4 linked regions of the Daphnia pulex genome follow. The protein of the gene in region 1 purifies or fractionates together with the protein of each later gene. This does not show direct contact. Links are inferred from orthologs where the notes say so. Each region holds a gene or a part of one and is shown in the gene's direction. Other genes may lie near its edges. The genes, in order: kinesin-like protein KIF23, protein ECT2-like, ADP-ribosylation factor 6 and 14-3-3 protein epsilon.

Region 1 (7,677 bases):
CATCCTACTATATATATACTATTTGGATTTCATGGGCAACAGCACAAGAGTGCTGCTGCGAAATCGTTCGTCTTTTATACACCGCAGACTCTCTGACCAGCAGCCGATGAACGTTTCCAGCAGCATATTTATTAATCACATGGAGCCGGGCAGCGATGCTGCACATTATCAAATGACATCAGCTTCGTGCTGCACCAGATGCTGGCTAGTTTATACATTTTGATGAAGAATTGTTACTTGTAAATCAACTTGCGACTCAACCCTGCGACCGCGGGTGAAATCGAAGCGTGATGTTTGCGCGAATTAATAGATTGAATGTGTATGTTCATGTCGTTTGAACTTATATTTAATTTATTATCTTTTTTAAATACTGAAGGTGGACATTTAAAGCCCCAAAGCTTTTTTGTAGAATTATATCCGGAAAAGTATTTTTTTTTTTTGACGCCTCCTTAGTTCTGGTGCATATAGTTACCACCAGTCGTCTCTAGTTGTCGTTCTTTTATTTTGGCGGGTGGACATTTGTAGCCCAGCAGACGAAATTAGCAAATTTTTTGAAATAACAATTTTCTGTTTTTGTCTGAACTGAAGTTCTTATGAAAATTGTATCTTTTTCTAAGAGCGTGTTAAAACCCAAAATTTTCGCACGAAATGAACACAGTGAAGCCAGTTTCATCTGCTTGGGACTATCTGAAACAAACTTTGAACCTTGATGGAAAATGTCAAGTATGATTCTTTTTTTGTTACTTGTAGATTTGTTTCATTACTCTTGTTTCACGCTCACCGTTTGAATTTTTACATGCAGAAGGAATTAGACAGAACCGAAATTGAAGGATGTGCAGAATTCATTGTTAACCATGATTTGGTAGACTTCAGCAAGGAATTGGTTTGGCAGAAGCTGTTCAATGACACACGAAATAGGATAACCCCTAATTTTTGGTCCAGATTTGAAGTGACTCAGAATGAAAATTCTGGTTACGAAAACTATAGGGAGGCTGTTAAAGTTCTGAACACCGACATTAAAAGCCTTCAGCATTACTTTTCCTTGTTGGATCACCTGTCAGGAAATGTCACGCCAAAATCATTCGCCCAATATCAGGCACACCTCAGTGCAATTTTGCTGTCTCAGATACCACCAAAGTTTGAATGCTGTGTGAATTTCTTCTACAGCCGAGCTTTCAGAGCATTCATGTCTTTAGAAAAAAGGAATTTTAACTTTGGTATTATACTTGTTCTAAAGTAGGTTTATAATTGAATTTTTAATTTACATCTTTCTACTCAAGATGGAGATGAGTCTGGTGATGTTATCACTCACTGTTCAGGGTGTGACCAAGAAATTGATCAATGTGAATGTAATGTCATTCTAGACAATTGTCATAACACCAACAAGTAAAAAAAAAAAACATTTTTCTCTTTGATTATGTTTCAGCACATTTGATCATATTTATTTTTTTAGGGCTTTGGCTGAAATAGGAATACTTGAGAAACTATCTGTGGGGATGATTCACACTCTCATTTTGACTCAAATCCAATCACATGTCCAGGATTCATGTGTAGGAAACTTTTCCTCTTCTCAAATTGAAATGCTTGAAAAGGTATTTTATTAATGTGCTAATGGTCTTAATGGGCATTTGAATCACCCTGTTCGTTTCTTGTTCTGAACCATTTGCAGTGGTTGCAAAACATAATTTTTCGGTGGTTAGGTATCGTCTATGGAGAAGACTACATCCAACAGGATCAAGTGCGAAAAAATTTTACCCAATTCCTGTACCACGCCTATACACACGCTAGAATCGAACAGTTATTCGAGATCATTATCGGTTCGTCAATTCCAAATCATGTATTGTGTTCATTGTTTCATAATCTTTCTTGTAATAGGCTACCCCGAGAGCTTTCCTTCGGTAAAGGATTTACAGGAATGCCTTTCACGGACGCAGTTGAAACCAATTTTGGCGCAGTCTCTTAAAACGACTTTAGAAGCAAGATTGCTTCACCAGGGAGCCACAACAGAAGACATACTAATCGCCTACGTATCGGCCATAAGAGCGTTTAGCGTACTTGATCCCACTGGCGTGCTTCTCGATGTAGCGTGTGATCCGATCAAGTATTATTATTATTCAATTTCGATCCGTCACTTTTGGCTTATGATGTATTCAACTATTTCCAACAGGCAATATTTGCGACTTAGAGGAGACACTGTTCGGCATATAATTCACAGTTTGACTGACAGTAGCGGAGAGCTGGGCGGAGAGCTTGAGTTGGGAAGAACGGGAACTGCTATACTGGATGAAGAATCTGTTGCAGCAGTTGGAGATACCGAAGCCTCAACCGATTGGGAAAATTGGCTTCCAGCACCAAGCGATGCCGATCCTAGCAAACTTTGGACAGGAAAAAAGCCGGTAATTTCATCTTGTTAATAAAGATGTTTTTAAAATAGTTTCGGTTCTGTAAAACAAATTCTTATTTAAAAGGGCGATATTGTACCAATGTTGGTGAACATCTACGGCAGTAAAAGCCTGTTTGTCAAGGAATATCGCAAGCTTTTGTCGGATCGATTGCTCCTGAACCTTCATTTTGACACAGAAGAAGAGATTCGTAATTTAGAATTTCTCAAAATTCGATTTGGAGAAAACGAATTGCACAATTGCGAAGTGATGCTCAAGGACGTGGCAGACTCCAAGAGAATCAACACCCACCTACAGTCGGTCGTGCACAAACCTGAAGTACGTTTTTAATTCGTTTAGCGCATCGATAAATAAAAGTTAATTTTTTTTCTATTTATTTCCATCCAGTTTCCGATTTCGGCTATGATTATATCAGCTCAGTATTGGGACCAGCTGAAGGACAAACCGATGAAGTTGCCGATCAAAATCATCAACCAGCTCGAACAATATAATCAAAACTATAAAACGGTGAAAACGAGTCGTTCTCTGCATTGGGTACCTCAGTCGGGTTCTGTGGAACTGGAACTGGAGTTTGATAATCACCGTTGCGTGTCTTTCACCGTCCCGCCCGATTTGGCTGCCATCATATCTCATTTTGAAGACAAGGATCAATGGGATTTGGAAGAGCTTAGCCAGGAAATGGAATTACCAATGTCTCATCTTCGAAGGCGAGTTCACGTGTGGCAAACACACGGGGTCCTCCAGGAAATTTCTACTGATCGCTTCAAAGTGGATGAAAATGGACCAAATTTCACAGGACATAAGGTATATCTTAAAAAGTTATTACCGTTTCTCAAATGTATGTATTTTGCAATTACGTCCTTTTCGTAGATTCTTTTAGAAACGCTAGCGAAAATGGAGGAAGAAGAAGAAGATGACGACGAGGAAGATAGTGAGAAAAAAACGGAAGAAGATGGTTTGCAAGTTTATTGGTCGTACGTTGTTGGCATGCTGACAAATCTCGAAGCCCTTCCAGTTGAGCGTATTCACCAGATGCTTAAAATGTTTACAATGCAAGGCTCTAGTGGGGCAGAGTGCACTCTGCAACAGTTGAAAAATTTCCTTGATTCAAAAGTTAAGCAACAGTTGTTGTCTTTCTCCTCTGGAATGTATAGACTCCCCAAACCATGAACTAATTTTTTTAATGATAATTTAAAAATGTGTATTCATTACAATAAATTTTCTGAAGTGATTACCTCTGTAATGAAATAAAAAGTTGTTAAAATACGTTTAATATTTGTATTCGAATTTTCAAATTTCAATGTCATAAATAAGTCAGGTTACTGGCAACGCTGTATTTCGAATTCACACCTGGCGATTTGGCGATGCTGCACTCAGTTTGAATGAAACGACAATCGACAACGGCCAAAAAGTTTGCCCACTGCACAGACAAATCGGTTTACATTTTGAAATCCCTCATTCGTTTTAAATATTTGACAGGGGTTCATAAGTACTGAACCGAATAGGCTCGAAAATGAAACCATCGTAAGTTTTCTACAAACCGTATTAGTGTGTGATTTGTGTTTCGTGCTCTCTTCATGTCCGATTATGCTCTTTTTTTCACTATGCTTTGTATACGAAAGAAGTTAAGAATATGTTTTATGTTGATCTTAGGCGATTGAAGATTGCACCTAAGGTGCCAACCAAACCACCAATTACCCCAGCACGGTCCAAACAAGCATTGATGACTTCCAGAGATCGGGATCCTGTGCAAGTGTATTGCAGAATCAGACCTCTTGATGTCCCCTCTGATGATTCGTGTGTAACTGTTTTAAGTGACACTGTAGTTCAAGTTGTACCTCCAGAAACTTCTCAAGGTTACAGAAGTGGAACGACAAAAGTAAGTTGACACTTTATTTCCCAGCAATTTATTTTTGAAAGTACTTTCAGTATTTTAATCTTGCTTTCTTTTTGATAGGCAACACAATATACATTCACTGGTGTGTTTGACGAGAAGACCACACAGAAACCTATTTTCCACACTGTGACTTTACCGCTAATAGAAGACTTGCTTCATGGAAAGAATAGCTTGCTATTTGCCTATGGAGTCACAGGATCAGGAAAAACACACACAATGAATGGTGAGCTGCAGGATGGTGGCATTATCCCTCGTTGTTTGGATGTTATTTTTAACAGCATTGGTCACTACCAGGTATTTCAAAAATAAAAATGTCGCAATACAGTTGTACTAACTAATCTTCAATCTACCAGGCTAAAAAGTATATCTTCAAACCAGATAAAATGAACAGTTTTGAAATCCAAAGTGAAATTGATGCATTATCAGAAAGGCAATCTGAAGCTCAAACTTCAAACAAGTTCAAGTAAGAATACCAAATTCTTAAAAATTTTTGAAACAATCTAATTATAATTGCGATACTTTAGGACACCTGCACGCAGAGGACAAGAGAACGAAGGGCCGCGCGTAACGGATGCTACACGGATTTCAGCATTAGATGAAGACCAGGCTTATTCAGTTTTTGTAACGTTTGTTGAAGTTTACAACAATACAGTCTTCGATCTGTTGGACGATACTCCTATCGATCCTCTTCGACCTGGCAAGATACAATCAAAAATCTTACGAGAAGACCAACATCACAATATGTAAGTGAACAGTTCACTTGTTAAGGTGAGCTGCTTTAACCTATTTATTTGCAGGTATGTTCATGCTGTGACTGAAGTTGAAGTTAAGTCGGCCGATGAAGCTGCTGAAGTTCTTGCCAAGGGACAAAAGCGACGCCGTGTTGCTCACACTACTCTCAACGCAGAGTCGAGTAGAAGCCACTCCGTATTTAACATCCGCGTTGTTCAGGCTCCGCTTGATTACCAGGTATCATCGATCGATCACTAAGTCTGCGATTTTAATTAAAAAACTAATCAATTGTTAATTTTAAGGGTGCCATTCCAGAGAAGGTGCTAACTGTAGGACAGCTCTCATTAGTTGATCTTGCTGGTTCAGAAAGAAACAGTCGAACTAAAACCACTGGCGAACGTTTGCGTGAAGCTGGTAGCATCAACAACACCTTGATGACGCTTCGATCTTGCTTGGAAATTCTGCGCGAAAACCAATTGAATGGCACTAATAAAATGGTGCCCTACCGTGATTCTAAAATCACACATCTTTTCAAGGTAAGCGTCCTGTCAAGTTCATAATGTATCTAATATTACTAAATGCTAAAATGTTTTGTAAACAGAGTTACTTTGACGGCGAAGGAAAGGTTAGAATGATTGTTTGCGTGAACCCGCGTGCGGATGATTACGACGAAACTCTTTCCGTGATGCGTTTTGCTGAAATGGCTCAAGAAGTGCAAATCGCTCGTGCCGTACAGCCCAATATTCGCTTGGAAGCTACTCCTCGAGCAACGCCAGCTGGAAGAGACGCCCTTCTCCCAGGCCGCAGAAAGGCCAATCGTGTTCTAACCGAGGCATATCGCAAACTGGAACAGGTTTTTATTCCATCAATGCGAGTTTATTAGTCTCATATTTAACTTCAATGTGATTTTGCAGGGTGGAATTTCGAACCCCCAATCAGAAGTGCCGTTTGACATTGATATGGTTTTCAGTGCGGCTCGCTGTTCGTGGCCTCCTCTGGAATTACAATCAGCATCGGATGATCGACTTATAACGGCCTTGGTTGAGTATCTGCAGGTAGTTGTTTTATATTTCAGCATAAATTTGCGAATGCTATACACGTGTGTAATTCCTTTCTCAAAGGTGCGAATCCGTGATCAACAGAGTCGCCGGGAGCAGCAAATGAAGAAATGTGTCGAAGTCCGAACTCTTATTCGTGAAATGGAAGAGGAGCTCATTTTGAAACGTCAAGAGAACTTGAGTTTGAACGAGCAATTAAAAGATGAGCGTTCGCGTTGTCAAACATTTGAAAACCGTGTCCTCAATGCGGAATCGGCTAACGCTACCTTACAGCGCCATGTACTCGAGCATCAAAAATACGCCAGGTAAATATTCCCAGATAAAAACGGCTATTCACCAGTTTTTAATTTTCGTCTTTCTCATTTAAGGTTGTTGGAAGAAGAGTTGAAGGAGAAAGATTGCCTTCTTAATCAGGGTGAGATGGAAATCCAACACGTAAAAGCCAAGGAGAAGACAAAACGGCAATTGGAACGCGAAAAGTTAAAGAAAGAACTGGACCGTTATAAGCAAGTAGAATCTCAACTTCAGCGACAAACAGAAAGATTTCTGGTTATGCGCGACTTGCTGGATGCCGGCTGCTCAGTTAAAGTTCCTGGCACAAGTGGATCTAGCGAATCCGAATCACGCACGCCTTCGATTGGAGCTACACATCGCGTCTCTGATCCCAGAGTCGTTGGAACCCCTTCTTTAAGAGTAAGATGCTAAAATTCCCTCTGGGTCGATCAAGATTGTCTAATTTGTATTTTTTTTGTAGGGACCAGTTGTATCCACTAGGAAACGCCGATCACGTTCTGTAGATCCTGGTAAGGGATGGATAGACCATCGCCCAGAAAACACTCTTGAAACAGATACCGTTTTCCAACCACAAATGAATCGTGCTAAATCCATTACTAAATTAGTAGATTCCAAAACGATCACCGATCCAAAGGTTTCGAAATACGTTCTGACAACGCAAGAACAGGTAAATTATTGGATCACTAACAGCACATTCCAACCAAGCTTATACTTAAAGGATGTTTTTATTTTTGTCTTTCTTAGGATTCGTCCGGAGAAATCGAAACGAAACTTTATAAAGGCGACGTGTTGACTACTGTCGGTGGTGGAGCTCAGGTAAATACTTAGTTAATTGTTTTTGAATACCCAGATTTTTTAATTTCTCTATTTCGAAAGGTTGTGCTGCAAGACGTTGAGATTCTTCGACATTCGTCACCAACTGCTGCCAAGCGCCATAGTGATGGCAGACTAAAGGATGTACACAGTCGTGTTGCTGATATTGAGAACCGTTGCGGCTACGCCATTGAAGGACACGGTCGCGTTAAAAAGCACTGCCCTTGAAAGAACTTGCTACCCTGCCCGAACTGATCGACGAACAAAATTTCTTGAACTAGGTTAGCGGATTTCCCTCTCTCGCCCCTGCTTTTTTCGCTTCACTTTTAGCAATTCGTCTTGAAAAATTTTTTGTATTTCTTTTACATGTGCATTATAACTTTACTATCGTATTTCGTTAATACATAATACACCGAACAGCTATGTCAACAATTGGTTTGTCTTGAAACTCACTAACTCAGACATCTCTCCACTTACATAC
Region 2 (7,734 bases), on another chromosome or scaffold:
GTTTTTTCTAATTAGGTTGGAATGATTCGTTCTTTGGGAGGAGCATCGATTGGAGATGCATTGAAGCGAGCCTGGTATAGAGTTTTCTCTATAAATAAGGTGATGGCTTCCGTTAATTGGGAGGGTAAGATAAAGAAGAGATCATTTCAAAAGCAGGGTTTGAAGCAGTACATCGTTACTAAAGCCGTGTTTGGTAAGTTTTGTGTTTATTTTTTAAATATTTCCTTCAATACTTCTAAAATAAGGATTATTTCTTGTTAGATTGTGTGCGAACGACATCCCGGAAATCAAATAACTTCGAATTGGAAACCGAAACAAAGAAGATTATGAAAGCAATGCCCGAGAAGTATCGAAAACGTGCGGCTGAAATGCTCCTCACCAAGAAGATTTTTTAAAATTTGCTTTGCGATAACTCAAACGTGAGTTATCGCGTGAAAAAGGGAGACACTTTGGCCGTAAGCCGCCGTGTTAGAAGCGCGGAAACACTCGCCGTGTTTCCAAACTTTGTGTAGGTACTGTAGAATGTTTACCTATTTTTCGATGTACACGCCTGAAAAATATTTATAAGTTGATGTCATGAATTAATCTCGTCTCATCAATTCATCTCATCACATCATCTGCTATACTACAAACTAATGAACATCTTTTGAAATCTTCCTGTGTTGGTAAGACGATTTTTTAAATATTATATGGTATTTTTTCTTATTTCAGAGAAAATTTCAGCTTCTGGAAATCATATTTTTCCTTGATAATTCATTTGCATTCACTCTTTCGACGGAAGGTTTGGTAAATAACTGTCCCTATATTTAATTGTACGTACCTAATACATTAACTCTTTCTCACAAGAAGGTCAACTGTGTCTTTCTTTGTCCTCAAGTTCTATTCCGGAAGCAATTTTTTACCCTTTTTTTTTGTTATGATTGATTTCCATCGATCATAACGAATTCTTAGCCTCCCATAAATAAGAGCGATCGTTCTTCTTCCTCATAGTTAGGAGAATTTTTCATTTCAGGCCATGGGCTGGTGTCATCCACATACAGAAGCACTTATTCCGGCTCAAATGGGCCCACTAGCTTTCGCACTTCATGTAATATAAAATATGGGATAATATTATTGAATTTCAGTGATATTTCAATTCTGTTCCTTACTAAACATAAATACAATGCTATATGAACAACTGACTAGTAGCCATGGTAGCAACAATAAAATGGTCACAGGGTACCAATCACTTTTCTGTGCCTTTCTAGAATCCTTATCATTGTTTGAATGATGGGGCTAGTTCTTTTTAAATTTATGTGTCGTTATACAAATTATTTTGCATTTTTATTCATGTTTAGACAGGTTTGATTATTTTTATATTTTTGATTATAGTAGCTTCACCAACAATTTATTTTTGGTGTGAGTCTTTTTGGAATGAATTATTTAAAAAGATATTAAGTAATTGACTAAAAAGTGCTGAGAATTGAATTATAAATAATTTGTCTTTACCATGGAAGTGTTCAAGACAGAGGAACGAGGACAAAACGAACTGCGTCAAATGAATTTAATAAAATTTTGGCATGCTCCAGTGCCATGCACTTTTAGTTTATTAAAAAAGAGACAAGCAATGAGTTTTCAATCATTGAATTTGGGGTTGTTAACAAATGCAAAAAATCAATTCAATAATGAATGAAGGCGAAAATGGATTAAGCGACTGCGACGCTTTCTATATAGCCAGCAAATCTACATGATATTTCAAACCCGTACGCAATGAGAATCCGTTTAGATGACACTGTAAAACCATTCACAATTACTTTGTAATGACATCTTAACAAAAGCCTATTTTTGAAATAAATGCGGGGGGTGGGGGGCGGGGCGGAGCCGAGGGCTTTTGCATCGCTTTATGAAAATGAAAAGCGGGGGAGCTATAGAAAAAACTAATTTCATGGACAGATTAATTGCTATCTCAACCACCAAATTGCAAAAGTTTTTTTAATATATTTTATTTGTCGAGATATGACCAATTTAGTAAAAAGGCACATTTAGCCGTTTTCCCTCTCTGATAGCAGCAATTTTTTGTACTCTACAAATATGAAGATCTGTATAATTTCTATTGGTCTAAAATGAAGGACAATAATAACAATAATAAGACCTTCGTTGGCTGTATGTCCCCATTATCTCCCATCCCCTGCATACAACTCTCCTTAGAGAGAGCAGAGGAAAGCAGACGAATCTTACTTCGGGATTAAAGACTAAAAATTCCCACAGAATATGAGGATTTTTAAATTTCGCGGTTAGGAGGCGGTGTTGCCATTTGGAAAAAGTACTGGCAGGTGTGGGAAAAACTTTACCCACCTGCGTCCTGTTCCCTATTTCTCCCCGGATTTTAACGTCTGACTGCATACCATTTGATAAAGTTTTTCACGCTCTTTTTTTGGTGTTAATTTTTTTCATCGTAAAAAGTTTTGATTTTTCTTCAAAATTTCGCCTCTTTGGGAGGCTATAACTCCCGAACGCCCCCACAAACATTCGACAGACGGCCATTTCCCATCTTTCCTCATTTAGACGAATCGCTCAAACTATTAAAACTTTCTCGTTAAAGGTTTTGATCGTTTTGTTCGCGGGCTCTCTGGCTTTGTCAGACAAAATCTGACATCATGTGACCTACGTCAATTGGTCAGACAAGGTGGGGCGGACAATTGTAGCAGACATCATCTTGACTAAAATGCTGCGTTGCGGCGATGGTAACAATTGTAAAAAAAACAAGTCGAACAGCCCTATACCTGACCACAGATAAAGACCACTGGTTGACTCTCTCCATAAGAGAATTAACATGGCCAACTGTTGCCATAAATCGTGTACCCTTCCTCCGATTTCTCCGATCTTGGACTACTTGTCCTGCCCTCTAGTGTCTAGTGTACGTTTGCATCTCTACACTCTGCTTAATTCTATTCAATTGCAATGAATTAATTGATTTCTCTGCTTTTGCCATTGAAAAACGTCAAAATTAAATACAATGTGACTTCTTAATAAAAATGTTATGACAAAATTACCTAGGACTTTTAAACGCCAGCCAAGAATTTTACCAAGACAGAAGGAAAACAATCTTCGTCTGCAAAACCCTTCGTAGCCTCGGTACAGTACAGTACTTTATCCGCTAGAGGCACTACAAGCACTCCAAGAACTCGGGGTCAGTAGGGATAGGGCTAAAAGGATAGGAGACAATCAACCAGTCGTCTTTATCTATGACCTGACATTGGGCTCAAAATAATATTTTAAAAATATTTTGAATTGTTTTCAAAATGTTGAGACATTAGAACATTAGAACTCGAAATAAAAATTTTTTGTGTTTGATAATACAATATTTTCAGAACCTGGAACGAAAGACATTATTTAGATTAGGTGAAATTTGGACTCCAAATATTATTTTAATTTATAGAAAATTTGAATTAATAATTAAAATTGATTAACGTGTAGCCTGTTCATTTTAAGTTTATAACAGAAAACTCTGAAAATCGATTGAAATTATTAAAAATTAAATTATAAAAAATTAAAGTATTAAAAATAGCAGGTAAAATAATGGAATTAAAGTATATGCCTCAACAGGCGAGTCACCAGGTGTGCAAACTGAAAGTGTTTGTCATCATCTTAGGGTTTGGTGAGCACCGAGATAAAGAAAGGATCCTCTACCGCAGGTGCATACCAACACACACGTATGCATTGATGTGATGGTGTTTATAACGGTCGCGGAGTCGCGGTAGGATAATGGAAAATTTTCGTATAAACACGGGCAAACTGTCTGGCAACGCTGTATGAAATTTGAAATTTCGGCTTTTTCATTTATGCAAGGCAGTCCAGTGTGGTTTACAGTTGCACAATAAACTCGAAGAAATGGCTCGCCTACTTATTGTTTTTTGAAATTCGATTGTGAGCTCCAGTCTTGTTTGTTATACGGTTGAGAAAAATTTTGGGAGTTTGATTTTCAAACGTTACAACCCGTGGATTTTATTTTAAATCAAAATGATGGAGACAACGTATGACATGTCTGGTTCAGTGTCTGCTTCTATGAATTACCTTACTCTACAAACCCCGTCCAAGAAATCTCGCAGGAATAAAGAGGATTCTCATCCAGGTATAAAAATTTTTACTATCATGTAGAACTGTCACTTCTATTAAATATTTTTGTAAATATTTCAGTTATTACATCCAAGATATGTTTAGTGGGAAGAGTGTGTGATGTGAAAGGGGTTCAAGAAGCTGCCGAAGTAAGTTTTTATACATTTAAAATGTCAAAGTTGTTATTTGTAAAAATGTACTTTCTAGAGTTTTGGAGTACCAGTATTCCATTCAGAAGATGGTCTTGAATTTGTTAACCCTCAGCATGACACAGTGTTTGTTCTGTATGAGTTTTCCGATGAAGTGTTTGAGGTTCTGTACAAGAAGGAATGCAGGATTCTGGGCTACTCAGCTTTGCTTGACATAGTTTCTAAGAAGTATTTTATGCCTGAACTTGATCGGCCATTGTTTTCTATTTCAATGGAGAATGTAGTATCCTGCTTCACTGGCTTTAGAAATCGAGAGGAAGTGGTGAGTTGCTTTAAAAGAAATGCAATTTTCCAATCATTTAACAATTGGAATAATGTTTTACCATCACTAGAACACACTGGTCTCTTGTATCCATCACATGGGTGGCAGCATTCGAAAGGAATTTGACTGTAACAAAATCACCCACCTTATTGCCAATAAAGTTGGAGGAGAGAAATATCAGTATGCAGTCACATTCAATATTCCAGTTATGAGTGCTTCGTGGGTCCACTTAGCGTGGGAAAAACGTCACGATCTAAGTGTTCGTGCCATTGACTCCACAATGGTATTATTTCATTGTCATTATTGAAATTTATTTACCACATCAAATATTTTCCGTTTTGCAGCAAACGAACAACGCACTCAAGATTTTTGAGGGCACCAATGTTTGCTGGATAGGTATTAATGACGAGGAGGTTACTCAAATGAACGAAATTTTGACTACCAACGGAGGATCTGTAACTACATTGGATGATCCTAACTGCACGCATGTGGTAAGTTTCATGTCAATAAGATTTACAATGGTGGAATTTTACGAAATCCTTTTAATAGGTAATAGACCCCCTTGGAGTTGGAAACATTCCAGAGAAGCTACCCAGTAAAGCTATGTTGGTTGAAGTTAAATGGTTTTGGGTTTCAATTCAAATGGATATTTGTGCCAGTGAAAAACTTTATCCTTATAAAGAGGTAATAATTGATATTCTTTTGTTTACTCAACGCTTCTAAAAACCCGGGATTTTTACAGACTCATTTGACGAGCCCAAGGAATGGGGTATTGTCACCCACAACTCCAGGATCTCGAAACCGCAAGCGTAAACGCTTGAGAGACACAGTGTCTCAACTTGCTGCTCAAGGAGGATCGCCTGGCTTACTTCAAGTTCCATCGTCTGGTCATGGTACAAATGTTTATTGCTTGGAGTTTTTCCCCCTTTTAATGACTAACGAAAATGTTGTTTATTCATAGACACTCATCGCCGCCGTTCCTCGATTAGTGAATCTGGCTTACTCAGCCTAAGTGGATCGTTTCTAGATGCCACGAGTCCCGAGAAAGTGGGGGGTCAAGGTGATCTCACCATTTCCGTTCCTACACCACAGGATCTCAAAGCAATGTCCCCTCGACATCAGGTGTTCATGGAATTGTTGCATACGGAAATGAATTATGTGGAAATACTGGAGACAATTGTTGAGGTTTGGTGTTATTTATTGCGCGTTATTTACCACAATATATAAATTCAACATTTCATCCCTAGGTGTTCAAAAAGCCACTTGAGGATCCTAGCCAAGTTGGAGGCTCTTTGCTTGATCCCACGGAGGTCAAAATCATTTTTGGCAATCTACCGCCTATCCATGAAATCCATTTCGAGTTACTTGTGCAACTTAAAAATACCGCACTCAACTGGAGAGAAGACATCAGCGTCGGAGCTTTAATTTTGAAGCATGTAAGTAAAGAATTTTCGCATACCCAGCATATTCGTTTACATAACTGTATATTTTACTTTTGTAGTCGCATGACTTGGTTAAGGCCTACCCTCCTTTTGTCAACTTTTTTGAGCAAACCAAAGAAGTGTTGAGCATGAGCGACCGATCGAAGCCACGTTTCCACGCATTCCTTAAACTGGGTCAGAGTAATCCCAAATGTCGACGGCAGAGCCTACAAGAGCTTCTTATTCGTCCTGTTCAACGACTACCATCCATTAGTTTGCTTTTGAACGATTTACTCAAGCAGACCCCAAAAAGCAATCCGGATTACGGTGAACTGGAGAAAGCTCTGTCCACGATCAAAGAAGTAATGACGCACATCAATGAAGACAAACGGAGGACTGAGGGTCAAGTTGTCCTTTTTGACATTTTCAACGACATCGAAAACTGTCCTGTAAGCTTCGTTAAATTTTGTCATTTAAATAATTTTTCTTTTAATTAAAATAGATGTTAAATTTCAACTCATTTTTACATTATTTCAAATTGAAATTTAGGCACATATTGTTTCTTCCCATCGTAGCTTTGTATCCCAATGCGACGTTATTGAATTGGGCGATGGTATTGTTGGTCGTGGTGGGCAGCTGACACTCTTTTTATTCTCCGACGTCATTGAGGTAAATTTAAAGCCATTTGCTTAGTTCGCATATTTTATTTTTAACTTTTTGTATATTTATTTATTTATTATTATTTTTTTGTATAGATATGCAAGCGTCGATCAAGAGGTAATACTTTAAGGAGGGATGTTAGCACAATCAGCCTCCAGCCGCCAAGAGGAGGTGCTGATAAAGGAAGCAAACCTACTTACAAGCATGTCGAATTAATATCGGTTTCCCATGTTAAAAGGGTTATCGACATTACGGAAACAGAAGGTAAATCTTTTTTTGCCATAGGACCATCCCAGTCTATCACTTCATTCGCAACTTTGTTTTAGACTGTCAAAATGTGTTTGCCTTAATTTGCCGGAGTCACTACGAAACAAAAGAGCGCCTTTATTCGTTCGAAATTACTTCAGAAGACGTAGACAAAGTTGCATTCTTGAAAACTCTTTGTCGATTGATGGCAAACATCACCTGCAGGGCGGACGCGGTACATGCTTTCAATATATAATGTACATAATAAGAATCCGTATATTAACAATATTCTTTGCTTTCACAGGAAAACTACCTGGCGTGCATGGAAGCTCGTCAGCTTGATATAGATACAGGTGACTTAGCTTCGGGCACTCTAAGAAGAGCCGCTAGGTAAATCGCTTTATTTCTCAAATAAGTTTACCTAAGAAAAGCCATAAAATATATCTGAATTTTTCTTTTTAGACTTGCATCAAAGACTCGCATGGCCGTTAACCGAGCGTTCAGTTTCAGCAAAACGCCGAACCGTCTGAAAAGAGCAATGAGCACAGTAATGAGTCCGCTGAGGTCTTCAAACACCTCAATTCTCGGCGATACCTCTCTTGTTAGCCCCATGATGAACGGCGGAGCGGTGGGCATGGCGGCTAGTTGTGCCAACTTGGCGGTAAGGCTTTTTAAATTTATCAATCACTATTTAGATCCATGTTAGAAATGTTCCGTTTTCTTTATCAAGATGATGGATTCTGACACTGGACTAAAAACGACACCGAGTTCTTCGACTTTAAAAAATTTCAAGAGCAATTCCCTTGGGTTTAATGCGCATAAACGTTTGTAAACTGGCATT
Region 3 (7,549 bases), on another chromosome or scaffold:
ACCCGAGTTATTGTTCTTCTTCAAAGCAGGCCTTTCGAACACTTGTTTTACTCCACCAGCATGCTGTGTGTAGAATTTCAAATTCTGAGCAGTATGCGTGGCCCACGGTGCGTCGGCTTGTGATGTATCTTGATCCACCAAATGTGTGTATTTGGTTCGACCACTGCGACCGAAATTCTTAACTTGCATCACTTTAGGCAGAACAGTCTTATCGAAGTGATCTTCAAGAGTTGGCACAGCAAAATCGCGTTTGAAAACTTCCTTGTCTTCGTCCTGTTAGAGTAAGAGTTTAAATTATTTTTAAAATCCCAAATATCTTTAAAAGCTGAACTTACGAGGTAAAAGGCACCGCGATGATAGTATTTCTGTAGGAACTTATATTTGCCCTTTGGTGCCTTGTTTGTGACTTCCTTTGGATTGTTCTTGAATTCCAGTCGCCGTTCTTCTTCGGTCATATTACGGATACGTTCAATTTCTTGTCGTTCTCTTTCTTCTGCCTCTCTTTCATCTCGGTCACGCTTATTGCGTTTAAGTTCACGTAATTTCCAGGTCTCGTATTCGAGTTCTTCATCCTCGGCATCCGTCAACACCGACAAGATTCCTGATTCAAGGTCTTTTTCGTCTTTGGCTTGCATTTCTTTTCTGACTTCTTCTTCAACAACCTGTTTAATAGATTTTTAATGCTTTTTTAGTTCAAAAAGTGTATAAATTTAAAAATGGTTTACCTTTAAGGTATAGCGGCGACGTTCTTCGGCAAGCTTTTTAGCTTCAAGTTCCATAAGCTTTTGTTTTTGCAATTCCTTTTCCTTCTCAGCTATGGTTATACGTTCTTTCTTGCTAACGAAGATGGGCTTCAGTCTTGGACCCGTTTCTTCCTCAGAATCTAGGATAAAAAACACAACAGATTTAGAGTCTTGTTCACATCAAGGGACTTTTATTTCAAACCTGTATATTCTTCATATTCTGAAGCTTCGTCATCTTCATCTTCCTCACTTTCCTTCTCCTCCTCTCTTGCCAACAACTCCTACAACAAAATTTGCAATTGAATTGAATTGATCAATGATCATACTACAAAGTATATTAACTTACTTCTTCTTGCTGTTTAATAACAGCCTTCTGACGTGCAATCATTCTTCTGCGCTCAATGTCATCTTCATCAAGATCTTCTGCCTCATCCTCTTCTTCACTTGATTCCCATCTTCGGGCATTTTTGCTAAAACTTACTTCTTCACTTTCTAAATGAGGTGTTACTTCATCTTCTTCTGTTCCAATAATTTCAGGCTCATGGATATGACGATGCCTTTCAATTCTATGGTCGTCAACTTCACGATTTAAAAGACGTTTTAATCTTCTGTCACTGTGAGCAGTAAGTGGAAGATCTGGGGTTTCGTCCCATTCTTTTTCAGGACTACAATTTAATCAAATTTTTTAAATATACAAGCATATAAATACATATCTACAATCAATAATTTAATACCTTTCTTCTACTGGTCTTCCTCTTGCCTGCTTTCTTGGTCTGATAAACTCTTCTTCATCACTATCATCTGAAGATGAATGTGTAGTAGCGTAGTCTGGTCGTTTGCCTGATACGTAACGATTGACTTTAACTTTTTGCATAGATATCTCCCCTTTGTCATTTTTCACAGGGATAGCACCCGCGGTTGAAAGGATAGGGACCACTTTGGATGACGACATTTTCACAAAAAATTGTCTTAATCTTAATACGGAACGACCATATACACGCGTTTGTTGTCTGAATTTTCACTCAATGTTTTTTTCGTTGCCATTGCATACTCTATTCAGGGCCAGTGGGCCACTCATCGGATCACCAGAGTGCAGAGTCCTCTGTTGGCGAATGAAATTGAAGACGACTACTGCGCCATCTAAGAACTTAAATTGAAATAAAGAATGACGTGACTTTTGCCGTCTCCTATGGCACGTAATATTGTATGACATGTTATTGCAGACTGTGACCAGTACCCAGCAATTGATGTTGCTGTAATCCACTGAAAATCTGATTATGCTGCTTCTAGGCAACACAATGCAAACACGATAGTTTTATCTGAGTTTTATTAGCTGATAGCAGGATCAGGATAAAGAGGCCGTGACCAAAATCCATGGAGACCTTTCGCCAAGTTCTATCCAGGGATTGGCAACCGTGAGGAATCTCGTTTACCTTGAAGTGCCTAAGAATCACGAAATAAATCTGAGAAAATTAATGTCGGAATTTAGGAATTTGGACCTCATTATGACGTTACAATAAATCACTCATTTATTGTATATAGCAACTACCTACTTACTACTTACTTTGTAGGAAATTACTTATGTCGTAGCTAGATTTTACACATCGCACTATTTGATCGCAATGGCGGTGGTTTTACGAGTTTCAGCTTATTATCAACTGTTTCGAAACACCAAAGTATTCAAAGCTCCGCATGACTTCGTGCAGTTTTCACCGGATCGTCGAAGATATTGAACTCAAGGACATCGATTAGACACACACTTCAAAATTTACCTCACGCTATATTCCACTAAATATATCCGCTCGAAAGTTTAACCGAATATTTTTGGTGGTTCTACCGCTTTTTTTTTATCGTCATAGCATAATAATGTGCGGTTTCGAAATTCTACTTCGATGTCTCCATTTTATTTCTTAATAAATAACTGTTTTGTACTGTAATAAAAGAAAGGAGCTAAAATAAATCTTTCCAGGCAACAAGCACTAGTGTGCTTATTTATAGAAAAATACCTAACCAGTAATAAGTATTGTGGGAGAAAAGCAAATCTTTTGAGTAGTCAAGTACACATGTGTCCGAAAAGCAACAACAAGAAATAACAATCCATCAAAAAAACGTCATAACATGGTGGCGGTGACTGTATAGAAACACTATGTACAAACCATGAACATATTTATGGTGAATATGCTTCTTTTGGAAAAAAAACAAAAGACTACGGCTAGCGGCTTACATGGTGAAATGTTTCAGTTGTAAAATGAGTAATTCAGCTTCCTTAAATGCACTTTGATAGCCGAGACAACCTGTTAGCTGTTGCTGCGGGGGGTTAAGGGAGGAGATAGGGATCCGGCTTGAGGCATTTTGTCGACTTCCGGCAACCTAAAAAGAAAAATGTGTTCATGAATTTCAACTTTTCTTTCGTAATCTTGACGCCAGAGACCGCTACTTAAATTGAAATTATAGACGTCGCTACTAAACACTTGCCGTATTGCCGATCAAATTTTTAGAAATGTTAGAAACTGCTAAATAAATTTTCCCCTTTCGAACCAATGAATCCTGCATTAAAAATTATAATAAAATAATTTATCACTCGTTGTTTCAATAATACATTTTAAAGATGTGGGAGGGAACACGTTGACGGTTAGGGAATGGTTTTGAAATCGAATCAAATCGAAGCTTGGGTGGGCGGATCAGAAGGTGGGCAGAAAAGGGGACACTGGCTGTCAGTGTTGGAATTCCATCTGCTCAATTACACTGGTGTGTGTATGTCATTCCTCTCGTTATTCCACTTGAATAAGTGTAATAATAGAAATAATTGATTAGTTGAGTGGAATGTGTTAAAGTCTGAAATAGCTAGTTGTTTTCAGACGCCGCCGTCACCAAAATTGGAAGAAGGAAAAAAAAGCCATCTGGTGAGATGCAAGGAGTACTATTCTGTCTGTTCATTACATTGGAAGGCCCGAGTTTTTTGGATCTTCTGAAGACTTGCAAAGATATCGGGAAGACCGGGTCGGGTGTTTGGGCGGCTAACTGAAGTGACAGGTGCCTTTTTATCTGAAGAAGCAAAGAAACTATTTATTTTCGCCTGTTTCCAACGCCTTCCATCGATTTCTTAGTGCTCACATCAAAAACAAAATAGTGTTTGTGCAAATAACGACTCCGGTTCATAGGAATGCCTTCGAAAATACTTCCATATTACAGCTAAAATTCCAGTAAACGTCATTGTTGAGTCTACATTAAAGTAAGTGGAAAACCTGATCTGATAATAGTATGTTAGCTAGTATGCTGTAAATGACTGAGCAAAGTCTGTTTATTTTTTTCTGATAACAACTTTTGCCACAAATGTCACTGAAAAGTTACCAAACTAGTTTGACACTTCAGTTCTACAGATGTGGATAAACTATATGGCTGTGGCTGACAGGGTCATTTTGTTGCTTGAAATAAAGTTCTTTTCTTGTAAAACAGCTTGTTAGTGAGCTGATTAGGAGAATGGGGAAAATACTGTCCAAAATATTCGGAAACAAGGAAATGAGGATACTCATGCTGGGGCTGGATGCAGCTGGAAAAACAAGTGAGATAAAGAATTTTATGTGTTGTCTGATAGCATTGGTTTTTTTCCAAGTTATACTTATTATTTTTGTTTTTCAAAATAGCAATTCTATACAAGCTGAAATTAGGACAGTCAGTCACAACAATTCCCACCGTTGGATTCAATGTTGAAACTGTAACATATAAAAATGTCAAATTCAATGTTTGGGTAAGCTAGTTCCTTTTGACCTCACCCATCAAATTTCTAAACCCAACACTAAAATATGAATCATTACTGCAGGATGTTGGTGGCCAAGATAAGATCCGCCCACTGTGGCGACACTATTATACTGGTACCCAAGGTTTGATATTCGTTGTGGACTGCGCAGATCGAGATCGAATTGACGAAGCTAGACAAGAACTTCATAGGATCATAAACGATCGTGAGATGCGTGATGCCATCATCCTTATATTTGCAAATAAACAAGACCTCCAGGATGGTGAGTATTTTACAATTATTATAATTGAGACTGTGGAACCCCAATTTATTCACGACATTTTCATGTTGACAGCCATGAAACCACACGAAATTCAAGAAAAACTGGGGCTGACTCGTATTCGTGATCGGAACTGGTACGTCCAGCCAGCATGTGCCACAACAGGCGACGGCTTGTATGAAGGACTAACGTGGTTAACATCTAATCACAAATCGTAATGAATCATTCGTTCAAGTGCTGTGTATAACAAAATTCAACAAGGTCGTGGGGCGTAGAGGAAAGATTTAGGAAACAAATAACTAAGACTATATGATTGAAGATGGCATCTCACTGCAATAGTGTGTTGCCAAAGTGCGCTATGGCATCAAATAATCAATACCGTACCGGACGCGAGGGCAGCCCACAGTTAATTTGAAACAAAACAAAAATATTGTGGGGTCTGTTCTCACGAAGCCCACAACACGAGCTCTTCCAAAATTGTTGTGCTGAATGAAAAAAAAAAAAAAACTTGACGACGACGACAAATCCTCCTCCTCTTCTGTTTCAAACTTTGGGTTGTATTGCATAAATTTGCATCCGTTTGATTCCCGCGTCCGTTTATGTTTTACTCTTTTCATAATCGATTGTTTCTCCCATCCCCTGTTATGTGTAAGTTTTGCTCCTAAAATTTTCAACCATTCCCCATATCCCTCGAGTTCGGCCTCCACCATCTCTTTTCCGGTCCCCCCTATTTTAATCCCTTTTTTACTCAATTGCATTAGAATGTTGAATCTAGCCCACAGTGTGTAGATGTATGATGAATGCGCGGTAAAAATTTTTTTGCTTGTACCTAAGTAAATATAATTACATAATTTGTTCCAGTTTTTATTTTACCGAATGCCGGACTTGCTAAACTCCCTTTTGATTACTCGGTCGTCCTCTGAAAAACAAAAATAACAGTCGCGACTTCTTGACACTGCCTCTAATACATGGATCTATGACATGTTGAAAGTTGATTTTCTAGGTCATTTGTCGAACGTTAACACCGCCTGATCAAACAAGAATTAGGGCGAGTCATTTGCAGGATGCACGGGTTTTCGAATCGCCTTTTTCGAAAACTCCGTTATCCAACTGGCCATCCGTTGTCCTCATTTTCAAATTCAACCATTCTCTTGTCAATAAAAGAAAAGGGCGCTCCTCTATTAATGTGTGTCCGGTAGTAGTAGTAACCAGACAATATAACCCTTCAGGGACAATTTGTGGTGTAGTATATTGTGAGCAAGCATATGGTGTCCAATGTCTTATTGAGAAAAATCCCACTTGGGACGAGTCGCTCCTTTCGCTGGTGACGAGTTGTCATCACCAGCATTTTTCCGTTGGTTGATACCTACACTGAATGACTGTGATACATCCGTCCGGTGGCTAGACACGCCTCTTCGTGCTGACGAGTTGTTGTAATAGTCCATGGAGGAGGGTGGTGCAATTTCAGCTCCTCGACTTGGCACTGATCGCCATCTAGATGAAGGCTCTGCTACGTGGGGTTCGTCCGTCTCCCCAGGAGGCATTAAATCATCGTCGTTTTCTTCTTCTTCTTCAACGACGTCTTTTTTCCCATCATATCTATTGGGAGGCGATGGCTGTACGCCAGACCTGCTGGGAAATTGCATCTGCTTCATGAAAGCCAATCCAGAAATAATAGAATCCTCGCTGATCACTGGCTCCGTTTTTATAATTGGATCTTGATGCTTAGCGAACTTCCTCGGCCTTGACGTATCGGTACTCTCCGTGAAAGCGGAAGGAGGTGCAAATTCTTCCTTTCGTTCCTCCCGTTTCTTCTCGACCCAGCTGCTCTGAGTCATAACTAGAGAATTCGATGAAACAAGAGAACCGTAACATAATCTACTCGTTAAAAAAGAGACTCAGATAAACACATTAGTACCAGGTTTCTTGGGGACACCTTCTTTGCCAAAATCCCAAGGTCTGATTTTGGCAGATTGAGGCAATCCTCGAGCTGCCGACTTTCTCAAGTTATCTTCCGCTTCCTTTGCGCTGTCAGTAGTGGGCGGGGCTTCAGGCTCCGGAGGTGTGGGCAGACGTTTAGGATGTTCTTCTGCAAATACAAGCAGACAAATAAACAAATTACAGTCATTTTAGACGCCCATCAATCTCACACTTCTTATACTCAAAGGAGGTAAGCCCAATTTTTGCCGTTTGCGATCCCGAACTTTCTTTAATCGCGCCTCCAACGCTGATTGTTTATCTGCTGATGTTTGAGTTGTCTGTGCTCGGGCCGCCTCCGTCAATTTTCGAATTCTTTCCAGCTCCTCCATCTGCTTTGCACGTTCCTCTTCATCCTTGGAAAACGAGTAAAAACCCACGCCATGCTGTCGAGCCTCTGCACGCACACACAGAGAGAAACAACAACAGAAATGCCATTAATTACACACCGCCAAATTCTGCATGCCACTAACAAATCCAAGAGCCGTTAGCGTAGTCAGTACGTAACGAATTGAAAGTGGCTATTCAAATTTACAAAACAATCGAGCCTGGTGGTAAACAATGAAACGGCGTTTCCGCTACGGACAAGCATTACTTTCAATTTTCATGCCGGAAAACGATGGAACGGAATATAGAGAGAAAGAAAAGAACATTCCAACAGCCATTTTCCCCATTCTTAATTAGAAGGATATGGGCGGGAGCTATGTACACCCGATATCTTCCACCCAACGCTTTTGTGTGCTGGCTAACAAAAGGAGAGAGAAAAACACAAAATTCCCCCCCTCAACAGACGTTGCTGCCACAATTATCCTC
Region 4 (7,523 bases), on another chromosome or scaffold:
TTTCAATAATAGTATTAATATGCAAATGGACCGTACGTCAAACTACGTCGAGGCTATTCGAGCGGAATGTGGTCGAAAGCAATTCAGCCTTATTTTTTGCGTGTTGCGTGCTGCACGAGCAGATACGTATGCTTCAATCAAGAAGATGACGATCTCAGAATTCGGCATTCCATCTCAGGTATCCGTTTGAAAGGGAATCGTAGTTGGCATCTTCATGATTGTTTAACTAGATTTGATCTTCTTGCACAGGTGATAACGGGAAGAAATATCAAGGGACAGCCCGGTAAGCTCATGTCAATCGCCACCAAAGTTATGATTCAAGTTGCTTCGAAGTTGGGTGCGGAACCTTGGAGAGTTGCAGTCCCCCAGACGGTAACTTTTCTCGATCGAGACGTTTGCTTCTTGAATTCTTAATTTATCTTTTGGCTATTATTGAATGTAGAAATGGATGGTTATCGGCTATGATACGTACCACGATGCACGTCAAAGAAAAGCTGTCGGTGCATTTGTTGCATCCATCAACCCGACCTTCTCGCGTTACTATTCTTCTGTGAAAATTCATGAAAACAATGAAGAAATTTCACCCAGCTTCAAAGATCATCTCTTTGGCGCACTCAAGTATGTTTTATTATGCTTTCTTTGTTCCGTGCAAAATAATATCTCTTTTTCATTCGCACAATTAGATCTTATTACATCATGAACGAAAAAACATTGCCGGAAAAAATCATTGTCTACCGTGACGGTGTCGGTGCTGGAGACATTGCGCGACTGAAGGATACGGAAGTGGCGGCACTGAGGGTAATAATGATGAGTGACGGTCTGTGGGAAGATTTTGAGGCTCGTTTTTCTATACAATTATCATTTTTTGGCTTGAGTAGGAGGCTTGTTCCGATGCTGGTGCTCGAACAAATTACCTCGGGACTGGTGTGTATAATCCACCCATTGCGTTCATTGTCGTAAGCAAGCGGATCAACACGCGATTTTTCGCCATGGGACAACGTGGAGCGAGCAACCCTCCTTGCGGCACGGTTGTCGACAATAAAGTGACGCTCAATGAGAGATTCGACTTCTTCCTGGTGTCTCAAAAAGTTACGCAAGGTACCGTTTCTCCCACCAGCTACAATGTTATTGAAGATGACACTGGAATCGCCCCTGATATTCACCAGCGACTGGCTTATGCTCTTACCCATCTTTACTACAATTGGCCTGTAAGTTTTTTTATTTTTATTGTCTATTTTATTCAGAATTGAATTTAACCAATTTGTTCATTTAAGGGTACCCTGCGTATTCCAGCGCCCATCCAGTATGCGCACAAGTTGGCGTACCTTGTTGGTGAATCAATGATGACGCAACCGCATGAAGGACTGAATCGACTTCCTTATTACCTTTGAATTACCTTTCATTTATTTTCTCCCTAAGTTTTGTCATTTTTAACGTATTAATTTGTTCACTCATAAGAAAAAAACTAAAAGACGACGAGACATGCCTCACTCGCACGATTTTCGAATGACGCCAAAAATATTTTTCTTGAGTTTGTTTGCAATGGCGGATATCGACAATGGAAGTGTTTTTCATGCAATTTTTTTTTCTGTTTCACCTTCATGGGCCATGTCAGAAGTGTGATAATGAACGCCCCTTTGTGCCATGTTGTATGTAATCAAGGAATGAGTAATAAACCTTTGTTTTTAAATGAAGTAGATTTATTGACTTTCGTGTGGTGAGTTTTTATATGATGAAATAAACATGAGTTGCAATGGAATTCGCGTTGAGATGGCATTGACGGAAAAGCTCTACGTGTGCAATGCACATAGCACATTAGGTGTTTCGAAAGCACTGAGGAAAACAAAAGAATGTGGCATCGCTGCTTGGCAGGCGTGGTCAAGCTGACAGCTGTATCGAGAAGAATGCAGGCCTGCAAGGCCAACAAGGGTACGTCTGGGCAGGATCGTCTGGGCTTCCTCGATAGTCAACTTTCAGGTCCGCAAAAGCCAAAAGAACTCGCAAGTCATTGAATTGCTAATTGTCCACTAGAGACACCATGCGGCTGTCTCTTTTGTAACCAAGGGATCTCAATCGTCCCACAGCGAACTAAATCGTTTATAAAAATTATTTCAATACTATAAAATGACTTGATTTCATAACTTGAAGCTTTTTAAAAACACGATAAAATAATATTTACGTAACAAAATAGATGGTTGCTAGACATCCAATAATGAATTCACAAAAAGTATGCATAGAATCAAATGATTAGAATGAACATGTCATTACTCGGATAATAGAAAATTTGAATAAAAGTTTTATTTCATAAGAATTAATTAAATACCTAAAAGATTAGACAGCCCCCAAAGGTGTTTGGCCTTGTATAGATGTCAGCACTGTACGCTGCTAGATGCATAGGTAATAAGAAACGAGATCTGGCAATCTGGCCTCTTCCCATCCCATCGACTCTCGCTGGCATTTTCCGCTTTAGCTACAGGGCAAAGCATTCTAGCAAGCGTACGGTGGAGTCTCAGTTGCTAGCTACACTCTTTGGTCTTAGTCGAGACAATTCGAGGCAGGTTCCGATTCCAACGGTCTCGCTTTTGTTTCTTTATCCAGTGACATCTGCTTATAGTTTATTCCAGCAGCCATGGCAGACAGAGAGGATAACGTTTACAAGGCAAAACTCGCCGAACAAGCCGAAAGATACGATGGTACGTAAATGTCATTTAAATGTAAAATCGAAAAAAAGAATGAAGTTTCATTTCCTCTGTGTCTCTATGACTGTGCATCTCTGTGGGTAAAACCGAACGAGACGGTAGGCGGCTTTGAAAAAAGGCTTGGGCGTTTGACAGACTTATGACGTTTTGACTTTTTGTCTTTTTTCTTGTACATTCGGTTGTGTAATGGGGAAATTCAGCGGCGTCCCCCCTCTTAGTGTTGGCTTGAATACTTTCGATCAATATGACACTCGTACTTGAGGTTCATTTTTCCTGACAATTCCATTTTATCAAGTATAGTATAATCTCAGCCATGTTTTCTAGAATCTCTTTTGAGGGTTTTTGTCGCAGTACGAAATAAAAAAAAAGTAATTCTGGGTGTGTGTCCGGTGTGTGTGTGTATCTCTGGGTGGTTTTCCTCGAAACCTACCGCTACGTAACGAGATGACTTGGATCAATGAGTCATGAGAGAGAGAGAGAGAGAGCAGAGACTTTGGACTGTCTCTTTGTATACTTGCTTTCCAATAACTTTTTTATTCTCTTTTTCGTGAAAAATACGTAGTCGTTTCTATTCAACTTGGGCCTCTCACCATTGCGCATCACCAAGGCGACGGATCTCTTCAAAACGACGCTCGGTAGAGTACCCCACCCTTATGTGCGTGATGCGTTGGGGGTCCTGGCTACGTTGATGAAAACGTGCCGTCTAAAAAAGCTTCTCTCTCTCTCTCTCTCTCGAGGACATCAAAAAGGAAACCGTTCACACAACAATGGCCGCCTGTGATGGTTAATTTTCTCTTCTATATTTTTCTCTCGACTCTTCTGTCTGCGGCTTACAAAAACCAAGAATCGGTCAAGCTCTGACAGTGGGCGGAGAAACCCGATGGAAAATTAGCCACCATTTTTATTTTTCGTCTTTTTCCTTTAGGAAAATATTCCAACTGGTATGAATGGGGCGTTTTTCTATTTCCACATATTTTCGAAAAAATAGTTGTCGCACGTGACGCGTCTCGTGCCTTTTGTCGTTGTAGAAAAAAAAAATTAGTTTTTATATTTTTAACTTTATTCCCCCCCCCCCCCTTCACGTTTCAATGATGGAGGGAAGTTGGAAAGAAGAGAAAATGCGGTGTGGGTGTGTCGCCCTAGAACCTGTCATTACGCCACTGCGATGTGAATCCAAGTGGAGAGCCTGTCCGTGCATACAACTCGATCGTCTGGTTATTATTATTTCCCTGAATTCAAACATGTACGCCCAGCTGGAGAAACTTTTATTTTTCAATTCCTCCCTTAGAAAAAAAGAGGACACACATAGTTTTGTGTGTGTGTGCGTAACGTCAACTCGGTTTGCCCCTGTACTTTTCCTTCCTTCCGCCGTGGGGATGCTGATGTTGGGGGTTATATGACGACTGCGACGTGCTGGATGTGTGGAGAGCGGGCGGAACTAGGCGGTAGCGTGTTTCCTCCCGTGGCCGTTATTGATCCGCTACTTGAAAAGTCGCTCGAGTGTGGGGGGTGGGGTAGACAGGGAGATGGGGGGGAAAGAAGGCAAAGCCTTTATGTCTGAAAGTGTATCTATCTTTTTCTGTCCAAAAGAGAAAGGGATCCTCTGACAAGTTTCTTTGGCTAAGACTATATGATAATCTGTTTGTTGATGCAGAAATGGTCGAGTCCATGAAAAAGGTGGCGTCGATGGACGTCGAGTTGACTGTCGAGGAGCGGAATCTGCTGAGCGTGGCTTACAAAAATGTGATCGGCGCTCGTCGTGCATCTTGGCGCATCATCTCGTCCATTGAACAGAAAGAGGAGAACAAGGGAGCCGAAGATAAACTTGAACTCATCCGCAATTACCGCAATCAGGTATGGATAATGTATTCAAATTTTATTCATTGATTTGTGCCTTTATCTGTTTTGTCTATAGGTCGAGAAAGAGCTGAAGGACATTTGCTCTGATATTTTGAGCGTCCTCGAGAAGCATCTCATCCCATCAGCCACCACTGGAGAATCTAAAGTCTTTTACTACAAAATGTAAATCGATTTTTGCTTGGCCTTTTTTTTTTCAATCTTGCGAGTAGTAGTTGGACATTCCTATTAAATGCACCGGTGGATTTCTCTCAAAGTCCTTGAGACTCGAGCGTCTGTGATTTCGAATTCTACTCGTGTTTCGCTTTGAGAGAAAAGAAAAAGTGTCGTTACTATCTCTACCAAACGTGTACACAATTTTATCGTACGTAAACGTTGCGCCAAGCGCAACTTTGTGTGCGCGCAGACATGTTGTGGATGGATGGCCTGGTATTGATTATTGACGATTTTACACAACTCCCTTCCTCTGCTTTTGTCGTTGTGTTATACAGGAAGGGTGATTACCATCGGTATTTGGCCGAATTTGCGACAGGAAATGACCGAAAGGAAGCTGCAGAGAACTCGTTGATGGCTTACAAAGCCGCCTCCGACATTGCCATGACGGAATTACCCCCCACCCATCCCATCAGGTAACTTAACTAACAATTTGTTGCCGATCCTCAACTTAACTTTATCATTTGTAGATTGGGATTGGCCTTGAACTTTTCCGTCTTTTATTACGAAATCCTCAACTCTCCGGACCGAGCGTGCCGGTTAGCCAAGGCAGCTTTCGATGACGCCATCGCTGAGCTCGACACCCTTTCGGAGGAGTCGTACAAGGACTCGACGCTCATCATGCAGCTCTTGAGGGACAACTTGACCCTCTGGACTTCCGACATGCAGGGCGATGGAGAAGCTGGTTAGTAGAGCAACAGCTAATTGATTTTTGTCCAATCACGCCAACAGGACTTGTGTGTGTTAATAATTAAAATTTCCTTTTTTAAAAAAATTGATCAAGGAGATGGTGAACCAAAAGCGGAAGTCGCAGACGTTGAGGACCAAGACGTCTCCTAATCGGCGATGTAATTTGTATTGATGTGTTTTTTTTTCTTAAGTCCTACATGATTTGTTCAATTTTTTCATTATATTATTAATTTTTTTTTTTCAACAAAAAAAAAAGTAATCCGGAAATCCACCACCTATGTTTCCTTTACTCTTATCTGTCTCCCATTCGCTCCCCCTCCCTCTAATTGTTCATCCCGCGCTCTTCATCGAACACTGGAAACTGCATTACAACAATTACCGAAACGGTTTGCATGGACACGTGTATAACTCCTCAAAAACAAAACAAACAAAAAATAATTAATAAGCAAAGGCTGTGTGTGGTTTTTGTTGTCATTCCCGTTGTCCCTGCCCTCTGTCTCTCTTTAATTTCCAATAATCATTTCCGTTATCTCTTGGATCTTCCTCGTCGTTTTATTCGTCGAAGATCCAGCGTGCCCGCACACACACACACACAGACGATACACAACACACTCACAGTTTCAATTTCTCTTCGGAATTTTTCTCTCTCTCTCTCTGCGATGTAGTCTGGCGTCACACAAGACTTCACGTGTAACCTTTTAAAACAAAAGCTGCTGTTGTCTTTTCAACTTTTCTGTAAAACTGCCGCGATTTCTTCATTTCCTCAAATTTGTATCAAATGGGATTGAATTTTCTACCAGGGGCTACTAGAGAGAGGAAAGCTGAAGAATTCGAGTAGAGGTAACTGTGGAAAAGTATTTGATTCAGTCTTTCCGCAACTAAATAATTGGCAATGGATTTTTTGAAAAGTAAAAAAAAACACGAATGGAAGAATAATTTCTTGGCTTCGTATCGCATTTTCCCCCCTTTACTATTTACTATTAGGCCTACTATTAAGTTTTTAACTTTTTCCATGTCGCTCGAGCCATTCCCTATTTATTTCTCTGTGGTGTCCAAACATTTGCTCACCATCATAGTTGGGAAAAAACCAAGAAGAAAAAAAAAATATTTGAATTTTGGAAAAGAATTTTTTTTTTGGTCCGACGTGATGTAACCAGTCTCCTTTTTTGCAAAGAAAAATAATCTCCTTTTCCTTTTTCTATCATCTGTCTGGTTGTAAAACAAAATAATCAAGAGGATGACCGCTGCAGAAAGAAAGCTAGGTCAAATACACGCGCGCATTCTTTTGTCCTCGGTTTCCACAAACAATAATTTTTTTCTTATTTAAACACATTTTTATTTTGGTTATGTTAGACGCATCATCATGATATTCTGTGCAGTGTCATATTCTTTCGGTAACATTGGATACTACAGAGTGGCACTGCCGTCTTGGAACATGAGTAGCGCTTGACATTAGTGCATCCTTGCACTCCACAGTTGACTCGAGCAGGTGGTTCTCTAAAATAATAGACAAATTAACTTAAGTTTTATCCATTTGAAAAACATTACATACTTGACACTCTGTGGGGCCAATGGAAAAGCAGCTCCAATAGGTACACTAAATGTTATCTCCCCGTCTTGTGTTTGTTTCCACGTGTAGGAAGAGACGTGACTGGGGACGGAAACAGAGGCTGATGAAGTTGAAGCCGAAATACTCGCAGCACAGGATTTGTTCAGTTTACTTTCCTTCTTCAAGAGAAGGCGATCGATGGTTCGTTTCTGAGTAAACGGGGAAAAAACCAATTCAAATTACAGCGATGAAAAAAGAACAATATCTCGTGCGTGATTAATACCTTTTCCTTTTCTCTTTTTTGAGCAGCCACTTCCCGTCGTCGTTCGGATTTAATGGCTTTCTTTTTCAGTAACTCTTCCGTCATCACGGTTTCCTTGTAACCTGAAACAATCCATTGTCAACTTGCATGGCTGAATCTTAAATATTTTAGAGGGGTGTACCTGTTGGCAGAGCTACTAGTTCCTCTTTGATGATTTCTTCGTTCTGCAATTCTCCTTTCCGCTCTAAGAGCG

Evidence for each region.
Region 2: the proteins of kinesin-like protein KIF23 (region 1) and protein ECT2-like purify together in Homo sapiens (co-immunoprecipitation; 3 studies listed by BioGRID and IntAct, with this or other methods). This does not show direct contact. The link is inferred for Daphnia pulex from reciprocal best matches to the Homo sapiens genes KIF23 and ECT2.
Region 3: the proteins of kinesin-like protein KIF23 (region 1) and ADP-ribosylation factor 6 purify together in Homo sapiens (affinity purification with western blotting; 3 studies listed by BioGRID and IntAct, with this or other methods). This does not show direct contact. The link is inferred for Daphnia pulex from reciprocal best matches to the Homo sapiens genes KIF23 and ARF6.
Region 4: the proteins of kinesin-like protein KIF23 (region 1) and 14-3-3 protein epsilon purify together in Homo sapiens (affinity purification with mass spectrometry; 4 studies listed by BioGRID and IntAct, with this or other methods). This does not show direct contact. The link is inferred for Daphnia pulex from reciprocal best matches to the Homo sapiens genes KIF23 and YWHAE.

What each region holds. Positions count from the first base shown.
Region 1 is NC_060023.1:8,670,575-8,678,251, reverse strand, and holds kinesin-like protein KIF23, read left to right. Parts: upstream 1-3,737; 5' UTR 3,738-3,915; coding exon 3,916-3,926; intron 3,927-4,055; coding exon 4,056-4,281; intron 4,282-4,359; coding exon 4,360-4,593; intron 4,594-4,652; coding exon 4,653-4,762; intron 4,763-4,823; coding exon 4,824-5,042; intron 5,043-5,096; coding exon 5,097-5,268; intron 5,269-5,333; coding exon 5,334-5,567; intron 5,568-5,632; coding exon 5,633-5,884; intron 5,885-5,945; coding exon 5,946-6,086; intron 6,087-6,152; coding exon 6,153-6,394; intron 6,395-6,457; coding exon 6,458-6,782; intron 6,783-6,843; coding exon 6,844-7,050; intron 7,051-7,127; coding exon 7,128-7,199; intron 7,200-7,259; coding exon 7,260-7,424; 3' UTR 7,425-7,628; downstream 7,629-7,677. Other genes in the region: anaphase-promoting complex subunit 2-like, read left to right, coding at 649-723, 803-1,217, 1,281-1,386, 1,454-1,592, 1,670-1,817, 1,876-2,101, 2,168-2,396, 2,469-2,720 and 2 more.
Region 2 is NC_060024.1:8,170,748-8,178,481, forward strand, and holds the start of protein ECT2-like, read left to right. Parts: upstream 1-3,804; 5' UTR 3,805-3,999; coding exon 4,000-4,111; intron 4,112-4,176; coding exon 4,177-4,244; intron 4,245-4,302; coding exon 4,303-4,566; intron 4,567-4,636; coding exon 4,637-4,849; intron 4,850-4,910; coding exon 4,911-5,057; intron 5,058-5,115; coding exon 5,116-5,250; intron 5,251-5,308; coding exon 5,309-5,459; intron 5,460-5,527; coding exon 5,528-5,751; intron 5,752-5,813; coding exon 5,814-6,002; intron 6,003-6,067; coding exon 6,068-6,436; intron 6,437-6,536; coding exon 6,537-6,656; intron 6,657-6,742; coding exon 6,743-6,911; intron 6,912-6,973; coding exon 6,974-7,128; intron 7,129-7,197; coding exon 7,198-7,283; intron 7,284-7,355; coding exon 7,356-7,554; intron 7,555-7,623; coding exon 7,624-7,725; 3' UTR 7,726-7,734. UniProt on the Homo sapiens protein: Guanine nucleotide exchange factor (GEF) that catalyzes the exchange of GDP for GTP. Promotes guanine nucleotide exchange on the Rho family members of small GTPases, like RHOA, RHOC, RAC1 and CDC42.
Region 3 is NC_060019.1:11,265,133-11,272,681, forward strand, and holds ADP-ribosylation factor 6, read left to right. Parts: upstream 1-3,382; 5' UTR 3,383-3,975; intron 3,976-4,199; 5' UTR 4,200-4,223; coding exon 4,224-4,305; intron 4,306-4,387; coding exon 4,388-4,491; intron 4,492-4,563; coding exon 4,564-4,762; intron 4,763-4,834; coding exon 4,835-4,977; 3' UTR 4,978-5,622; downstream 5,623-7,549. Other genes in the region: microfibrillar-associated protein 1-like, read right to left, coding at 1-273, 336-662, 726-883, 946-1,024, 1,090-1,408, 1,478-1,695; coiled-coil domain-containing protein 174-like, read right to left, coding at 6,040-6,599, 6,678-6,848, 6,912-7,133. UniProt on the Homo sapiens protein: GTP-binding protein involved in protein trafficking that regulates endocytic recycling and cytoskeleton remodeling. GTP-bound form plays an important role in the transport of multiple palmitoylated proteins form the Golgi to the plasma membrane.
Region 4 is NC_060024.1:10,587,551-10,595,073, forward strand, and holds 14-3-3 protein epsilon, read left to right. Parts: upstream 1-2,462; 5' UTR 2,463-2,629; coding exon 2,630-2,693; intron 2,694-4,353; coding exon 4,354-4,553; intron 4,554-4,614; coding exon 4,615-4,721; intron 4,722-5,047; coding exon 5,048-5,185; intron 5,186-5,239; coding exon 5,240-5,454; intron 5,455-5,547; coding exon 5,548-5,609; 3' UTR 5,610-5,997; downstream 5,998-7,523. Other genes in the region: piwi-like protein Siwi, read left to right, coding at 13-178, 250-372, 443-618, 684-798, 879-1,208, 1,275-1,391; INO80 complex subunit B-like, read right to left, coding at 6,821-6,956, 7,012-7,217, 7,292-7,392, 7,452-7,523. UniProt on the Homo sapiens protein: Adapter protein implicated in the regulation of a large spectrum of both general and specialized signaling pathways. Binds to a large number of partners, usually by recognition of a phosphoserine or phosphothreonine motif.